Oreochromis niloticus: one gene and its partner. The protein of the gene in region 2 purifies or fractionates together with the protein of the main gene of each other region. This does not show direct contact. Links are inferred from orthologs where the notes say so. Each region holds a gene or a part of one and is shown on either strand. Other genes may lie near its edges.

What was found. The genes of interacting proteins can lie anywhere in the genome.
Region 1: the proteins of ube4b (region 2) and ubl7b purify together in Homo sapiens (affinity purification with mass spectrometry; 3 studies listed by BioGRID and IntAct, counting the BioPlex papers as one, with this or other methods). This does not show direct contact. The link is inferred for Oreochromis niloticus from reciprocal best matches to the Homo sapiens genes UBE4B and UBL7.

Annotation. Positions count from the first base shown.
Region 1 is NC_031965.2:29,413,747-29,421,773, reverse strand, and holds the start of ubl7b (ubiquitin-like protein 7b), read right to left. Parts: upstream 3,075-8,027; 5' UTR 2,980-3,074; intron 2,960-2,979; exon of another isoform or gene 2,767-2,959; intron 2,579-2,766; 5' UTR 2,552-2,578; coding exon 2,377-2,551; intron 2,289-2,376; coding exon 2,169-2,288; intron 2,076-2,168; coding exon 1,966-2,075; intron 1-1,965.
Region 2 is NC_031984.2:22,088,305-22,096,091, reverse strand, and holds the start of ube4b (ubiquitin conjugation factor E4 B), read right to left. Parts: upstream 3,175-7,787; 5' UTR 2,848-3,174; coding exon 2,821-2,847; intron 1,822-2,820; coding exon 1,602-1,821; intron 1-1,601. Other genes in the region: rbp7a (retinoid-binding protein 7a), read right to left, coding at 5,166-5,237, 5,368-5,469, 5,610-5,788, 5,956-6,028. UniProt on the Homo sapiens protein: Ubiquitin-protein ligase that probably functions as an E3 ligase in conjunction with specific E1 and E2 ligases. May also function as an E4 ligase mediating the assembly of polyubiquitin chains on substrates ubiquitinated by another E3 ubiquitin ligase.

The DNA of each region.
Region 1 (8,027 bases), on a different chromosome or scaffold from region 2:
ATAGCCTCAAAAGTTGAATTATACATGTCTAGCAACCACTTAGCAATTGGCTAAAATGACCCATTTTTAGCATATAAACAACATCTATTAACCTGATTTTTTTTGTTTCACTTTTCTCGTGGCAATGCAGTATATCAGTCTGCCAAAAGTACAAAGAGGCCAAGCACTACTGTAGCATGGGCAAGTACTAGTTGTTCAAATACATTATATATAATGTAAATGACAAGTTGAGGATGATAGCAATGATGTTTGAGGGCCATAACACAGCACCCAAAGCATGTGAACTAACAAGTACCTCTGATTATATACATCTACAGGACCTGCTGTATCATCTGACCTGACTTTTATGAGCTACACTATACGGACCAAAGAACTGGGGCACACACTTCATAACTCTTTACCCCCTGAAAGGTTACTAGAAGTAACCCTTAAACTTGTTTTTCTGAAGTGAATGGTTTCTGCCATATGTCAGGCCTGCTTAAAGAACAAGATTACTGGGTTTGGTCTCTGCCTGTGCAGCCTGGAAAAACCCAGAAACAATTCCAATGGATGTCAAACAACATCTCTCTTTTTTTTAAAGATTTATTCTGGGGTGTCAAAACTCATCATTAAGGGGGTACAGGGAGGTCATCAAATGTTGTCTTTATGGGGGAAAGATTTAATAATTGAATAAGGTGCACCTGGAGCTCCAGTAGACCAGGGCCAAGCAGCTCCTGTAATGCATATGTGGCACACTTGTTTTGTTCATATAGTGCACTATGAATAGTAGTGACTTATTTATACCAGTTTATGTAGAATCCACATAGTCCAATCGTTTTTTAAGCCAACATGCTGTAATGTTGCTGAGGTTGAATGCTGCAAAAGCTGCAACAGTTAAACTCATTTATGTTTAAAGCAGCTCCTAGTGGCCTGGGGTCTGTTTATTCATAGCTCTGACATGCAACTAGGGTGATGCAATCAGAGGTAAACACCACTGAACAAAGATGTGACATCATCCAAAGGACAGTGGAGAAGATTCCAGCTGCTTGCGCCAAACTATCTCATGGTCAAGGACAAACGCTTATTTGTTTACTTATTTATGTATTTATTTTAGTTTAAGGCATGACCAAAATAAAATTGAGTGCCTGTGTCAAATAACTTTATGCAAGCTGTGAAGCCACATGGTCTAAAAAAAAAAAAAAAGAGCTAAGGCATATGGCCAATGAATTATGAATGATTTTTTTTCCATTCTTACAGCTGATTCATGTTTTCACTTGATAACTATTCCCTTATCTCAACACAAAACAACATTTCTTAACTGGAACTACACTGCTGTCTGTTCAAGGCATGTAATCACTGTAAAAAAGAAGCAGCTGTGAAACCACCAGCTGAGTGGTTCATATTTAGGGCCAACTGTTTTACGCACACTTGTCATTAATGAAAGAGTACCATGTCTTTCAAAAACAGAAAATGTCAACACTTGTGTACTTTTCTCTGAAAGATGAACTGCCTTGTCTAATGGCAGGGCTCTGGAAAGTAAAGCAGCTAATGATAGCTTCAGGACAATACATGAAACTCAAAGTGACCTTCAGTGGTCCCATTCTACTGCATGTGTCTGTTAGAGGTGCTGAAATGAGTTTCTTATTCCGGTACTTTACTTCAAATAGAGTTAACACATCATGGACTAACACTGGAAAACCAATGTTAATTTATAACTTCATTAACTAATCTAATATATTGTACATAACAGCACCCACCCCTAGCTGAAACAGCAGCTTGTTTACACATTTCCCTAACAAGCAAAAGACCTCTGGTTCTTCTTTTCTCAAACAAAATGTAGATATTAGCCAGTTTGGTATTAATAAAATTTGATATTAGCCAAAATGGTTGTTGTGGAGAGAGAGAAATCTCATAAGAAGTGAATGAAAGATCAAGTTCTTTTTAACACTCACTAAAATTAGCTGAATACCTAAGCAGCTCAGTTACCGTGAGTGTGTTTCCTCTACTCACTGAGTCCCTGTAGGCAGAGCTGAGAGAATGAAGAGCAGCATGAAACACCCTGAACTCCCTTGCTGCAGTTACCCTGTTTACAGGCTCTGGAAAATACAAACACACATTCAGATTCACAAGTTCAATGTCATTTACAGCTTAAACACAGTTTTAAGCTTAAATGATGCATACACACAGACCTGGACTACTCTCTGGCTCTGGCCATGTCTTTTTGAGGATGTGTAAGGTGGATCCTGGTTGAATCCCACAGGCATCCAGTGTAAGGTCATCTTTAAGTTTCCGGCCACAGTGGATGAACTCTGGTTAACACACAGAAGAGAGTGGTGAGATTTTCACACAGAGACATGCACAGATTTCACTGACAGCTAACGGATGATGGTGACGTACCTATTAGCTCAGGGTCTGGGATGGAGTCTGGGAACTGAGCTGCAACAAGCTGTTTCAGGGTGGCGACCCTGTATCCTCCAGGTGGAACATCACCTGGCATCATCTCCGGGAAGTGGAAGATGGATTTGGGCTGATCAACCAGCTTCAAAGACAGATTCCATTCTGACGAGGCCATCTCTTCCTGTTTATTAACCCTACACACCTGCAATTAGTCCACAGAACACAAGCTTAACACGGTGGGGTAGACCACAACATATACCCTGTTAGCTAACAGTATAATATTACAGCTTCACTCTGCTTCAGTGTGAAGATACGGCAGGTCTTTTTGACACAAAATAAACCTTAGACCCATGATCCACAGGAGGAACTCACGTCAAAATGCGCTATTACCTGACGATTACCTTTTCTACGAGGTTGTAATGAATCACGTTACCACTCAACCCGGTTAGCTGCCTAGCGTTTGCTCACGAAGCATGCCGATTTTCTAAATTAAACTTTTCATGCCGTTTAGTTTGGGTGATTTAAAAAAAATCTTTAAAAATAACTGAGTCTTACAGAACTAAGAATAAAACTAAAACTCTATATGAACAACTGCACACTCACCCTTTCTTTGTTGACACTGAATCCACTTCCTGGTTTTAGTCACGTGTCTAAGTTGCGTTTACGTCCACTGTCCAAACAAAGGAGCTTTCACTTTTCTGTAATATTCATAGATAGATATATTTTCGAAGATTTGTGATGACTCCTTAACACACACACACACACACACACACACACGCGCGCGCGTATAAATAAAATCATTATTGGAATGGGAAATAAATGGAAAATAAATGTTAATCCAACTTAGCTTTCGGTCAGACTGTTACATCAGCATCTCTATCCCATGGCATCTGAGGGAATACGCTAATTCTAATCTCACAATTAGCGTATTCCCACATAGAATGAGTTTCATATCCTACCTGTCCAAGATGGAATCAGTCCAAAATTTCCCAGCCCCCAACTGATAAACCTTTTGTAACCCACTTTTTTCAAACTACCTTGATCGCTGTAGTGGGGATTCACTTAATACCAAAATGGGCTTTCATGCTCTGAAATCAGTATTCAGAGAATTGGCATCACTTTACTGATATGGAGATTAATAATGATAGAGATTATTAATGAATTTGTGTTAATAGCTGTGGATAGATTATATTTTATATTATATTTTCTTTGTTTTCTGATGATGCTGACTTAACTATATTGGACTGACTATGTGTGTTAAAGTGCATACAGTATATACTGCACTGAATGGTTAATTAGTCCACTTTTACATGCAGAATTGAAAGAAGGTTTTACACAGAAACAAGTAAAAATCTGAATATTGTTTACAGATGTGAGGAAAGTGTTTTGAGAGCCTTGCTGAGGGAACTGGTAGTGTTACTAATTGGAATAAACAATCATGCAAATATTCTAATATAAGGAAGTATTAATATGTAAATTCATAGGTCACTATCTATGTCTGTTGCATAAAGCAGATTAATAATGACATTCTTTCATATCACAAAATCAACATCAACAAAGCAAATAAAACAACATCTCACAAAACAGGGATGGGCTATGGGCTATTATCACAAAGGTAAACAATACTATGAATAATAGATTACAATAAAGAGCCAATTATTTTCTATAAATCTTGATTTGATTGGTTAACATGTGCTACAATATGTAAAAGACTAGTCTGAATTACCAATAAACCGCTAGACAAGTGTAAGTGGCCACTTTGAATGAGCAATAAGTGCCCTTGGGTAGCTAATCAATTACTTTAGATGAGCAATTAACGAGTAAACATTTGTGAAAACCATAATTGACAGGAAATATGTCAGCCTGTTTCGCTGTAGCTGTACCTATCCATTACTAATCTGTCACTTAAGGAAAAGGAAGGGAGAAAGAAAATTTTAACATGCTTTTTAAAGTTCATAAAATCAGGATTGTATTATAATGCAAATCAAATTTTGGGGAATAACTGAAAAAAAAGTCCTACTGCTACTACTACCATTAAATTATACACTTCTGTAATCGCCTCGTTCTCACCAGTTCTGCAATCAATGATAGACTTTATCACAAAATTATACCCTTTATACAAAAAAAATCAACCTTTATGTATTATGTTGTGCATTGCTTGTATTTGCTGCTAATATCCTACCAAATGACAACGTGCACAACTATCGACACATTCTCAGCTTTCTTTCACTCCAGTTTCCCTCGTTGTTTAGCAGCTCTGTAGGTGTCTGTGTGGGTCTGGCCTCTATAGAAGTTTCTTTCTGTCTTATTTTGCTAGTTCTTTCTAGAGTTTTGTGTTTAGGTTTGCTTACACTCCTGTCTCATTGTCTTTATTTTTTATCATCTGTGTGTACTCTGCTTTGTCGACTTCTCTTGGTTACCCTTATGTATATTAAAGTCTACTGTCTTCTCCTCAGCCTTTATCACCATGCCTGTTCATCCTTCTAGTGTGTTTCCCAGTCTTATTCTTGCATGTTTGTGGACTTTTTCCATTTTTGAATTGGATCCAAACAACAAACAAAACATTATCTTTAGTAGCGAATGAGATCCATTCACTACTAAAGGTGTGTTTTGTGTGTGTTTACTTTGCCTGCCTTCTCAGTGTGCATCTAGGCCCTAATTTCAAGCTTTGTGACAAATAATTTTGTTTTCTCCTGAGGGGTATACTATAAATGTAGTTCAACACAACCAAGCTTTCTTTGCCTTAGCTGGCTCGACAAAATTTAAAACCCAGTTGGATACGATGGGTATCATGACAGCGGTTATCAACTTTCTCAGTTAAGCTAGGCTTTTTGCTTCAGGCTCTGTGCTTGCTCACAAGAAAAAGTGCCTTTAATGGGTTGTATAACTCTTCTTTCACACAAAATGATCATTATGAGTGCTGACTGCTCCAATAAGAGACATTAGCAGATGATGATGATAAAATTGTGATGAAAAATCAATAAAGAACATCTAAAATATAACAGTAAAATGCAACCCTGTTGCAAATGAGACAAAAGATTAATACTGAAGAAAATAGTTTATCTTGGGCTTTAACAATTTCACAATTTACATGAAGAGTGGTAAACATTTTAATCCCAGTTAAAAATATTTTTTATCACTGAGCGCACTCTCAGTACCACTATTTATTTTTAAGGTTACAGCTGCACATTAGTGCTCTGAAATGTCAAACTTTAATCAATTTAAAGGTTAATTTTTACCATCCCATAGCCCGCTAAAGAAGACGTGGAAATCACTTTAGTTTTGTCAGCAGATCAAAGTGAAATGAATTTGCCAAGCCATTAATATCACTTTGTAGCACACTCCTGTTATTGTTTTGTTTTCTATAGAATGTTGTGTTTTATGAAGTACAGCAATACTGTATGTGGAAAGAAAAGTCTATGACTGCATGTGGGGGAAAAAAGTGTGCCAAATAATGCTTAATTTATGGCACCATGATTGTGTCCATTTCCATATGTATTTGGCTATGGAGAAGGGTTTTCAATCAACCTAAAAGTGCTCCAGTGCAGTCCTCCAGAATCCCAACTGCAGATTGCTGGATGTGGGTAGTGCTGTGTATTGGTCGAATGCTGACCTGTTCCCAGAACTGGGAAAAGAAAAAGAAGAAAACAGCAGAATCCACCAAGAATGGAAGAAGCACAAAAAACCCATATAAGATATTACAAAAAATTGAACATTGTATGAACATTGCAGACAGTGGCTGCAGTGGACAGTTTCCATTATTTTTATTTAGTTTTTGTCTCTGTAAGAGTATCATACTTTTGACACAACCCCTATCTGACAACAGACACTGTTTGTAGCTCTTCACAGACTGCCACAGACGCCCAGCGCACTACCACTGCTGAACCATAATTTCCTACTTAGGCGGCACATGGATGGTGCCAGTGTGTGTGTGGCTTTTTTCAATGGCGTTGTTTTGAAATTACAACCAAATTGCAAGCATCCAAAAATGATTTACAATAATTTGTGTTATCTCCGGGTGAAAACAAAAACTTGCCAAGCACAACACAATTTATTCTTTCGTTATTTGTGTGTGTGTGTGTTTTATTCTATTAATTTATTAACCTATTAATTAAAAAATTGTAAATTTTTACCACATTAGGGCCACCATACCTTTTAGGACCATACGATAGCGATTGGCTAATAATATATAAATAAATACATACATAAAGAAAAAAAAAGTTGTTTAGGTTTTCTGAACACACTCGGACTTGGAAGTACTCAGTCAAACTATGTATTTATCCTGAAATACTGTAACGTGGCAAGAAAAGTCGATGAGTTCGCGGAAAAAAGGTACGACGACTAAATGGTTAACTGGGGGATGGGGGTCAGCATGACATCACTGCTGGACGAAGCAGCAAGGAGTGGTTTCTGTGAAGAGCTCCCCGTCCCAAATCAATGGAACATACCCAAACACTCAGGAAAAACGCCCTCTAGTTTTATCCAGCGTCAAAACAAAGTGTTATAGCCGTGCTTTGCTCTAAGAGGAATGAACTGCTCTGGAAAATCACACCGCCAGCGCTGAACAGAGAAAAGAGTCGCCTCCGCTGGAGGGTTGGTGGTTTTCAAGTTTCTCCCTCTTGTCATGGTAAGCATTTATACATAGTGTTTGGGGGCAAAAGCACCAGCTAACCGGGATGTTTTGTTTGTATCATAGTGAAAAAGCCAACGGTAAACTTGGGTTATTTTAAAAGAAGAGCAACAGCTGGGGAGAAGGGAAACTCCACGAAGTCGGGCCAGGGAGGCGCTATGGCTGAATTACACAGGCTTAGTCTGCTCTGTTCACCGGGTCTAGAGACACGTCTAGTACAGATGTTTGTAGCTTACCTTTTAAACAAGTCGTAGGCCTACTAAGCTAGATAGTATACTCTATCAAAAATGGAGCTAAAAAGCTAATATTTATGAATTAAACGGACTGCGCCCTCGTTTGATAGAAAGTGAGCATTGCATTTAACGGTAGTTCCATATAAAGTAACATTCATAAAGAAGCTGGTTACTACTGCAATATCTTCCCCCAGTTTCCTCATACTTTCTTTCTTTGTGTTTTTGATTGAGCTGTGGTGATGGAGGCCCGTGTTATATCAGTGTTACTAGATTCAAACAAACTGCATGTGGGGTAAATAATACCCTGGTAGTACTAAAAAGTTCTACCAGACTGATAATTTGATATATCTAACCCAAAAAAATCAAACAAACAAGCTATGCAGGCTAAAGGTTTGAATATTAAGAACACATATACTTTATTTACTTTGAATACAGTTTAACACCCCTGTTATAAATTTAAATAAAGGCTAAAGTTTTTTTGTGTGAGGTCTCTTTACAGTCATATATTTCCTCCATTAACTGTTAAAACTGTTAACTGCTGTTTCAGCTGCTGTTCTGCTTCAGTACAGATCTCTTATGTGTTTTTTATGAGACTTGTATGTGTTTACCTTTGTAAACTAGAACCAAATCAGACAAACCAAATCTCAATATGTGGGGGATAAAAATAAGATAAAAATGCTTGCATGCATAAAGTGGCAAACCAGGTTATCCTAGATTACATTGGTCGCCAATCTGTACTCTAAAACAGATTAGGGCTTCATATTTCTACCATAGAAAGACAAGACTTT
Region 2 (7,787 bases):
ATTGTACACTTTAAATCCTTTGCACAGCATTGAATTTTAGTCTATCATGTCTTTTCCTGTTTTATAGATTTTTGTAATCTTTTTATTGCTTTCAAGGTATAAACAGTCCCAACATACAGCGATTACAGTAACGACATTACAGTCAAAAAAAAGCACACTAAGAACTCTGAGGAAATTAAATCGAAACAAAAAACATGATGGATCCAGGTCATTGATGTCAAACAGTCACCCAAAACCAAACATCAGTCATGTTTACTCTTCACTTTCAACTGGCCTTCGTACAGAAAGAAAACAAGACACCTTTACCAGTGAACTGTGTAAGCACACAGGGCTGATTCCTCTTTGAAATGCCCTCGAGTTATGTTTCACATTAAATCCTATTTTCTCGGATGTATTCAATGAAAATATTTTGAAACAAAAAGAATAAACGAATCAAATACCTTGCGTGTGGACTGGCAAACGCATTTGGATGTTGTGATCAAAGGGAATCCTAATTTTCTATGTCAGTAAATGTAATGACTAAAATCTGAGACATACGCAGTACATACATCTATACATGGCTGGCATAATATCAGAGTGTGATGACATGAAAAGATCAAGAAAGGAAGACGAAATGAGGAAGAGGTTGTGCAAAATGGCCCTAAAGTTGTGGCAGTAGTCGGGGAAAAAAGTATACATTTGCCAGAAAAAAAAGACTCCGTTAGAGCTGCTGAAATGAAGAAAATATTAATATACATATCTACAAGTTTTTAAAGAAGAAACAGCAGGTTTGAGGCTTTGATTTTGAAATGATTGTTCAGTTCAGTTTTTATACAAAATAAGTTTTTATCGTCTTTATCTTTCCTGATATTGTAATCAAAGATGACGTTTAATGCTGAAAATAAGGCACTTTTTACTGCCATTCTCTAACACTTACCACTGGGAACCACACAAAGATATGACATGAATAGGCAACCATGTACAGTTTTAGAATTCATGTCACAGCTATTGCTTAAAGAAGAACCAACTGTTTAGTCAGTCTGGGTTAGCAAAGGCTCAGATTGGAATTTTTAAGTTGCTTACTGACTACTGCAGACAGGTAGTGAGAAATCTGATTAACAGAGGATCTTACACCGGATAGGGGGCTGGAATTAACAGCTCTCTCCTGGTTATACAACAATCATGCAATCGAATGATTACCCTACCAATGTCAGATGTAATACACATTAATAAGTTGGTGTGTAGGTATGGCTTGTCCAACTGCCAGTATTTTTTCTTCTTATTAATCACTTAGGAAATGCACCACTGGGCCTAAAAGGAAGACCTTTAAAGCAGCATGGCTATGCATAGCAACAAACAATGCCAGGAAACTGTTGCTGTATCCATACATGGATCTCTGCTGCATTTTCTAGAGCCCGTGCATGACTGAAGCCTCCATTCTACCTTTGTACTAGAGGGCTCACCATTCGTGTCTAGTAGGGTACACTTTTTGTCACAGTGTACCCTGATTTGGGGGATTTTTGATATTTTAACACTGTTCAATGTCACAAACTTTTTTCAATATTTTTTTTTATTTTTCCTTATAGGAAATTGCCTCCCAGAACCTTGTTTTAATTTCTTACCAGAGGTGCCCATAGGGGATGTAGCAGGGGTACCACTGTGGACATTGAGGCCCAGTGATTGAGAGGCAGCTGGTGGCACGGGTTGGGGTGCAGCACCTGAGGGTCCAGGGAGGGGTCCAGGTGGAGTCTCTCTCTGTGGGGATGTCAGGGGTGTGCTGAGAGGGGTGCTAGGCTGGGACGTTTGTCCTCCTGCCAATCGTGCCAATCTCCTCCTGCGAATCTTGAATGGGCAGATATACAGGGTCATTAAAAGAACTCTGTAGCTCTTCATAACTGCATAACGTTGAAATGTATTAATAGGTTAATAATAAACCTATATGTATGTATATAAATCCCTGGACACTGTAAGAATAACCAAATTATGCATATATTGCCCAGAAAAGACAGATCATTAAGGCACAGATTTTCTTTGTTGTACGTTTTAAAGTCAGATCTGAAGAAAAACATCGCGAATAAAGTCAGATGCGGACACGAATCGTCGCAGCTTGGCCGAGGAGCGACGTTAAAGCTAAATTATCTGCTGCACACTCTGCTGAATGCTAATCGAGCAGCTGAAAATGATGACTGTAAACTGCAGTATGCTGTATGCGATTTCACATAAACAGCTCAATGGCCATGCATCGGCCCACGGCTGATTGCACAATGGTGGCCCGGTCTCTGTGTGTGTTTTTTATGCTGAGTCGTCTCGCAGGCTAATTTCTGTCTGTCAGCTAAACCGCCGCGAGGTGACACGCGAAAACAAATCAGTCAAAAGGTATTCCCTTCCTAACTTCCCTGTGAAAACACAACACAGACAAATATCTGCCACTTACAAGCGGCTAACAAGATCTTGAAATATTTTCGATGCTTTATATAAGAGCAGTGTTCTCCAGCTTGTAGCATTACGTTAGCTACTTTCATTTAGCAACCCAGCTGCTCCAGCTAAATAGAACACGGCCCAAATCCACCTCTCGTTCTTTCACTTCTTATATTCCCAATATAAGAAGTGAATAACTGGCCTTTGAGTTAAACTGCGTAACACCCACTACCGTGTTCTAGCTAACTGAGATTTTTGTCGAAAATGTATTTCTTCCATCAGCTAGTTTTTGTAGCACCTCAGCTAGCAGCAATACCCCTAAAAGGGGTAAAGGAAGAATTTGCAAAACGTACATTTGTAACGTCAGTAACGTAAAATCATTTCAATTCCCTGTGTAAGCGTTTATTCATATTGTCACCTTACCTCATCTGCGCTCAACTCCTCCATCATCCCAGCTAAGACAGCTAGCTATTTCACTTTCTAATGCTTTAATATGCCAGCCAGAGCCAGCTAGCTAGCTTGTATTAGATCTAAATATGCATAGTCTAACTCATTCAACAAATATATGTGTCAGGCTTTTGATTGTCTTCAAGATAAAAAACGACACCGATATTCGGAGGATGGCGAAATATAGTTCCCCCAAAAAGTCTGCTGTTTGCTGGTTTTCTACCAAGAATGAAACAAAAAGAAAAGTAGCTAGCTATTATACGTCAAAATACAACAGCGGCCATTTTGGTTCCACAAGTCACGTGACCAAAGGGACCAAAGGTGGGGGTGCGTAGCGTGTCGCACAGATAAATGGAGTATTTCACCTGTTGTGTAAGTATAAAAGTCTGTTTTAGGTCACTTCAATGTAACGCTCCTGCATTAGCATGACCTCGGGTTATAACTGAGGTCACAGTTACCACATACAACGTATCAAACTGAGCGTGCGTGAACCATGGCCAGTCAGAGGGGTGCAAGGTCACTGCAAAGACTTATATTAGTGACGTAATTGCCAATCATCTGTCACCAGGTAAAGATGCCTGCAATATACAGTATGTGCCTATACATTTTATTTTAATGCCTATTTATTTTTACCGCAGTTACAGCCACATCACGTGTGTGACAGGGTGGGCAGTACACCAGATGAACTGAACAGGCAACCAAATTTGACAATTTTTGGTAATAACTCGCCATAATTAATAAATATATATATATACATATATATATATATATTTTTTTTTTTTTTTTTTTTTTTTTTTTTTAAACACAGGCAGTCAGTATACAAAATACCCAGTTTCCTTGGGCAAGACACTTAAACCTTGAGTTGCCCCACCTGACTGATCAACTAACTAGAAAGTACCAGTTCATTCACTATTTACATGGAATACTCATAAATATATGGTATGTGCATTGAGAAATGCAGCTACATTTATAAAAGTGCAAAAATATCTGTCCTGGATTGAGTCTTGAGATTGAAAAAAAAGAGGTCAACTGGATTTCTTTAGGTTTGTGAAGACGTTTCACTTCCCATCCAAGAAGCTTCTTCAGTTTTTAAAACAAATGAAGAAGATGGAGAGTCCCAGGTATATAACCCCTGGTGGGGGCTGTCCCCTTTGGAGGTGGTCCTGATGGTGTGAAAAAAGGTGTGGGTCATTACCATTACCTGGGGTTAAGGGTAAAGTCACTATGAGACCTTGCCCCACCCCATGTGACCTATTTAGGTCACCTAAGGCAAAGTGTGAGTGGTGTATGAAGCGCCTGGGAGTGGATCATAGGTAGCTGACGGGTGGTGCTGCAGAGTCAAATCAGATGACACATTTACTCTGGGCACAGAAGTGGATCAGTGAAGGGCAGCTGTGAGCGCAGAATTTCCTCAACACATTTCTATTTGTCTGGCAATTTGTGCAATTATCAAGTAGGATTGAGCTTTAAAACTAGCTGCACACGCTGATGATTGACCTCTTTTAAATTACAAAGAGACATGAGGGGTTCTCCCCAAAGTGTGACCTGCACGGGACAATCCGCTCAGTGTCCTTTAGTCATGCTGGTTACCACTATTGCTGCAGAAGCACTAAACTACTGTTACCTGAAGCTTCCACCGCACAGAGCTCAAGCAGCAAATCGTATGCATTAGTGTAACTTATAACTGAAGTGTGTCAGCAGTATTTAGCCGACGGGGTATGGTGACTTTACCAGTCGATCCGATGCTGACGTGTGATTAATGGCACAACAAAAACCTGTCAGTTTACTAAGAACACAATAAAAAAAAATGCTTCAACTTTTACATCAGATTTATTTTTCTTACTCACATATTACATACAACAAAACTGTATTCCAAACATCCTACGAATAACCTTCAGTTACACTGGTTATAAGTGTTCTTGAATGAACAGAAATTTACAGAAACATTGAACAAAATGCACGACGGAGAGCACAAGCTGCACCCGTGTCTCCTTTTTCTCATAGCTCTAAATATTTAACAAAAAATACATTTTTTTCAGCCAGCTGAAAGGTGCTATAAACATTTTTGACGGTTTGGGATAGAGGCACGCACCGACAGGCTACAGGACCAGACAGACCAGCATCTGACAAAAGTATTGCAGCGGTACCATCTAGTGGTGTAAATGCATACCCCGAGAGTACAGACGTTTCCACCTGAACCGAGTATTTAAGCGACGGGTAAGACACCAGTCGTAACTCTCGGTGTGGATTCTCAGTCAGGGTTGGATCTAATACATAAAGCCTTCTAATTCTGGACCACCTCAAGATCCTCCTCCAACTCTTCATTCTTCTTCTCTCGTCTTTGAAACGTTCTTATAAACCTGCTTGCAGACTTGTCCTTCGCAGAATAGCTCCTAAAGAGAAAGGGTCAGAAAAGCTTTAATAATTACATTTTATTTAAATATAACAGATTAAAATGAGTTCAATAATACATAGTTTTTTAATTCTGTGTATTATGTAGAATGTCCAAATTCACAGTCTTACCAGATGAAGCTTGTCATCTTCAATCCAGTGAGTCCATCCCCTGTTCTTCTTCTCTCCAGTCTGTTCACATATTAGTTTGTTCCCCTCCCATCTCACAAGCGACTGCAAAGGGAACAGAGAAGCGAAAGTGTGAATCACGACTTGTTTTTCAACATGCATAATATTCAAAGTACATTAATTATCTATTAAAAAACCCCCTCCAATTATGATATTTATGATACACTCTAGCCATTCCCATTTACCTTCAGGTGTCTGTTGTCTAGTCCCTTTGTAAACTCATTAAATTCCTGGCCCACTTTGAAGGTGACCGTGTAGTTTCGGAAAGTGCTCGTGGTTTTGATGATGAACTGGTCCCCCTGCCGCTCAATTGTTTTCTTTAAGTTAAGTTTCGTAGCAATTTTTCGTAAGGAAGCGCTGATGCCTGGAAAAGTGGAAACAGAGGTTGAGCCATAGGCACAAATTCATTTTCTCATTTCTCGCACAGTTAAATGATAAATAGCCCTGCTGCCGTGTTTTTCTACAAAAGTGCATTTTGAATGAGGTGAATGCACATTCTCATGAGGGAAACAACACGCTTGAAGGACTTACCCAGCACAATCATGTAGTCGTCAAAGTTGACATTGCTGATCATCTCCCATTTGCCACTCAGGCTGGCAGGCATGTTGACGAACTTGACTTTTCCTTCTTTTGGGAAGCGTGTAAGTGCAAGGTGATCCTGAGCCGGTCAGGTGCAGACTGCTGAGAAGAGGCTGAGGCAAATGCTGTTTATATGAGGTCAGGAGACACAGAGGCAGGTGTGTCCTGTCACCTGAGGATGAGAGAGGTGAACTGATTTGTTCCAGAGTAAAGAAGAGGCCAGACGTGTCAGACTGGTGCAACAGTTCAGTCTAAGCATGGCTTTGAAAATTTGCCCCAGGCATCACGCCTTTATGGCATTCAAATCCTAGTGGTGCATGTTATCCAGAAGCAATGTTTGGATTTGAATGACAGACTGAAAGGCTTTTATCCTTTTCTTTTAATAAAACAAAAAGTTACTCAGAATTAATCACTTGTACAATGATGGCAAAGCAGTCACTCTATTTCTCTTACATAACTGCAGTAAATACAGCCATGTGAAAAGAGTTTTTACATGACTAAGTACACAAACTAAGTACACCCTAATTGCTTCGATAGGAATTAAGAAGGTAAGCAGCAGCAAGGAGCTGCTGGAATCGTTGGAGTCGTTACCAGGAGAAAGCCTCTTCTCTCTAAAAAGAAAAAGGCAGCACATGCACAGAAGAGTGGACCAAAGTTCCTCCACAACCATGTCACTTTCTGTTTGACTGAAAAATCAAACAGAAAGTTGTAACTTCCAAGTTACTGTTTCTAAAGGTGGTTCTACAAGCTAATATATATAGGTAATAATAATAATAATAATAGGTAATAATCATGGGGTGTGCTAAGGGCTGCACAGTCCTGTTGAAATCTTTGTTTTTCACGACTATAAATGTTATATCGACTGATTTGCACACTATACTTTTTACTGCACAGTTAGAGAAATCTTAAATTGTGATTAGGATGTGTAGTAGCTGGTAGGCATACATTTTCTAGCACTTTATCTTTTTTTGTAATGTTTTTGTACTATGTGTGAATTTGCTGTGGCACTGGACTCGCTCTGAGTTTCAATAATCTACATATTCCCAGTTAAAAGAAAAAAAAAAATCATGCTTATCTCATTTAAGGTTTTATATTTATATAATAGTTGTAGAGGGAGAGGGATTTCAATATTCCAGTTGTTCAAAGCTGGCTTCAGACATAAACAGAATCAGACAGCTACTGATTCTTACGAACAGGGCCTACGTAAAAATGGCACACCTTTATGTGCAATGAGGAACATAGTGACACTGTTGCATACTCTGTCATGCAGTGTGAAAAGGATTGATGTAAGCCAAGTGTGGAAAAAAAATAAATGAAACACATGGCACTTATCCAAATACTCAGGTGTTGTTGCTTCTTCTGACGGGTTGTCTTGTGACATGGGAAAACCACGTCAGGGTTTTTTCCCTGCCAAGACTCTAAATGTGCGTAAACACAATGCAGACGTACTAACTGCTTAAATAAAACACAGAGGAGTTTGGGATGCTAGCTAAAACATACTCAGAGTAAATTGGTAGAAATAATAATGTTTTTCAAAATTAATCATAATAAAATTATTATTATTATTAAAAAGCTACTACTAATAATGATCAATTCTGATACTAATGATGATGTTCTCTGTTATATTTTAATTTTAAACCCCATTACTGTAATCAAATCTCTTCATTTGGCTGATGTTTTGTTATTTCACCTGAAATCTAAAAGTGAGGATGATCCTGCGAGATAATCATTTTCATCATGAAAGCAAAGCTGAGACTTTACTGGAGATATTTAAGGATTCTTAT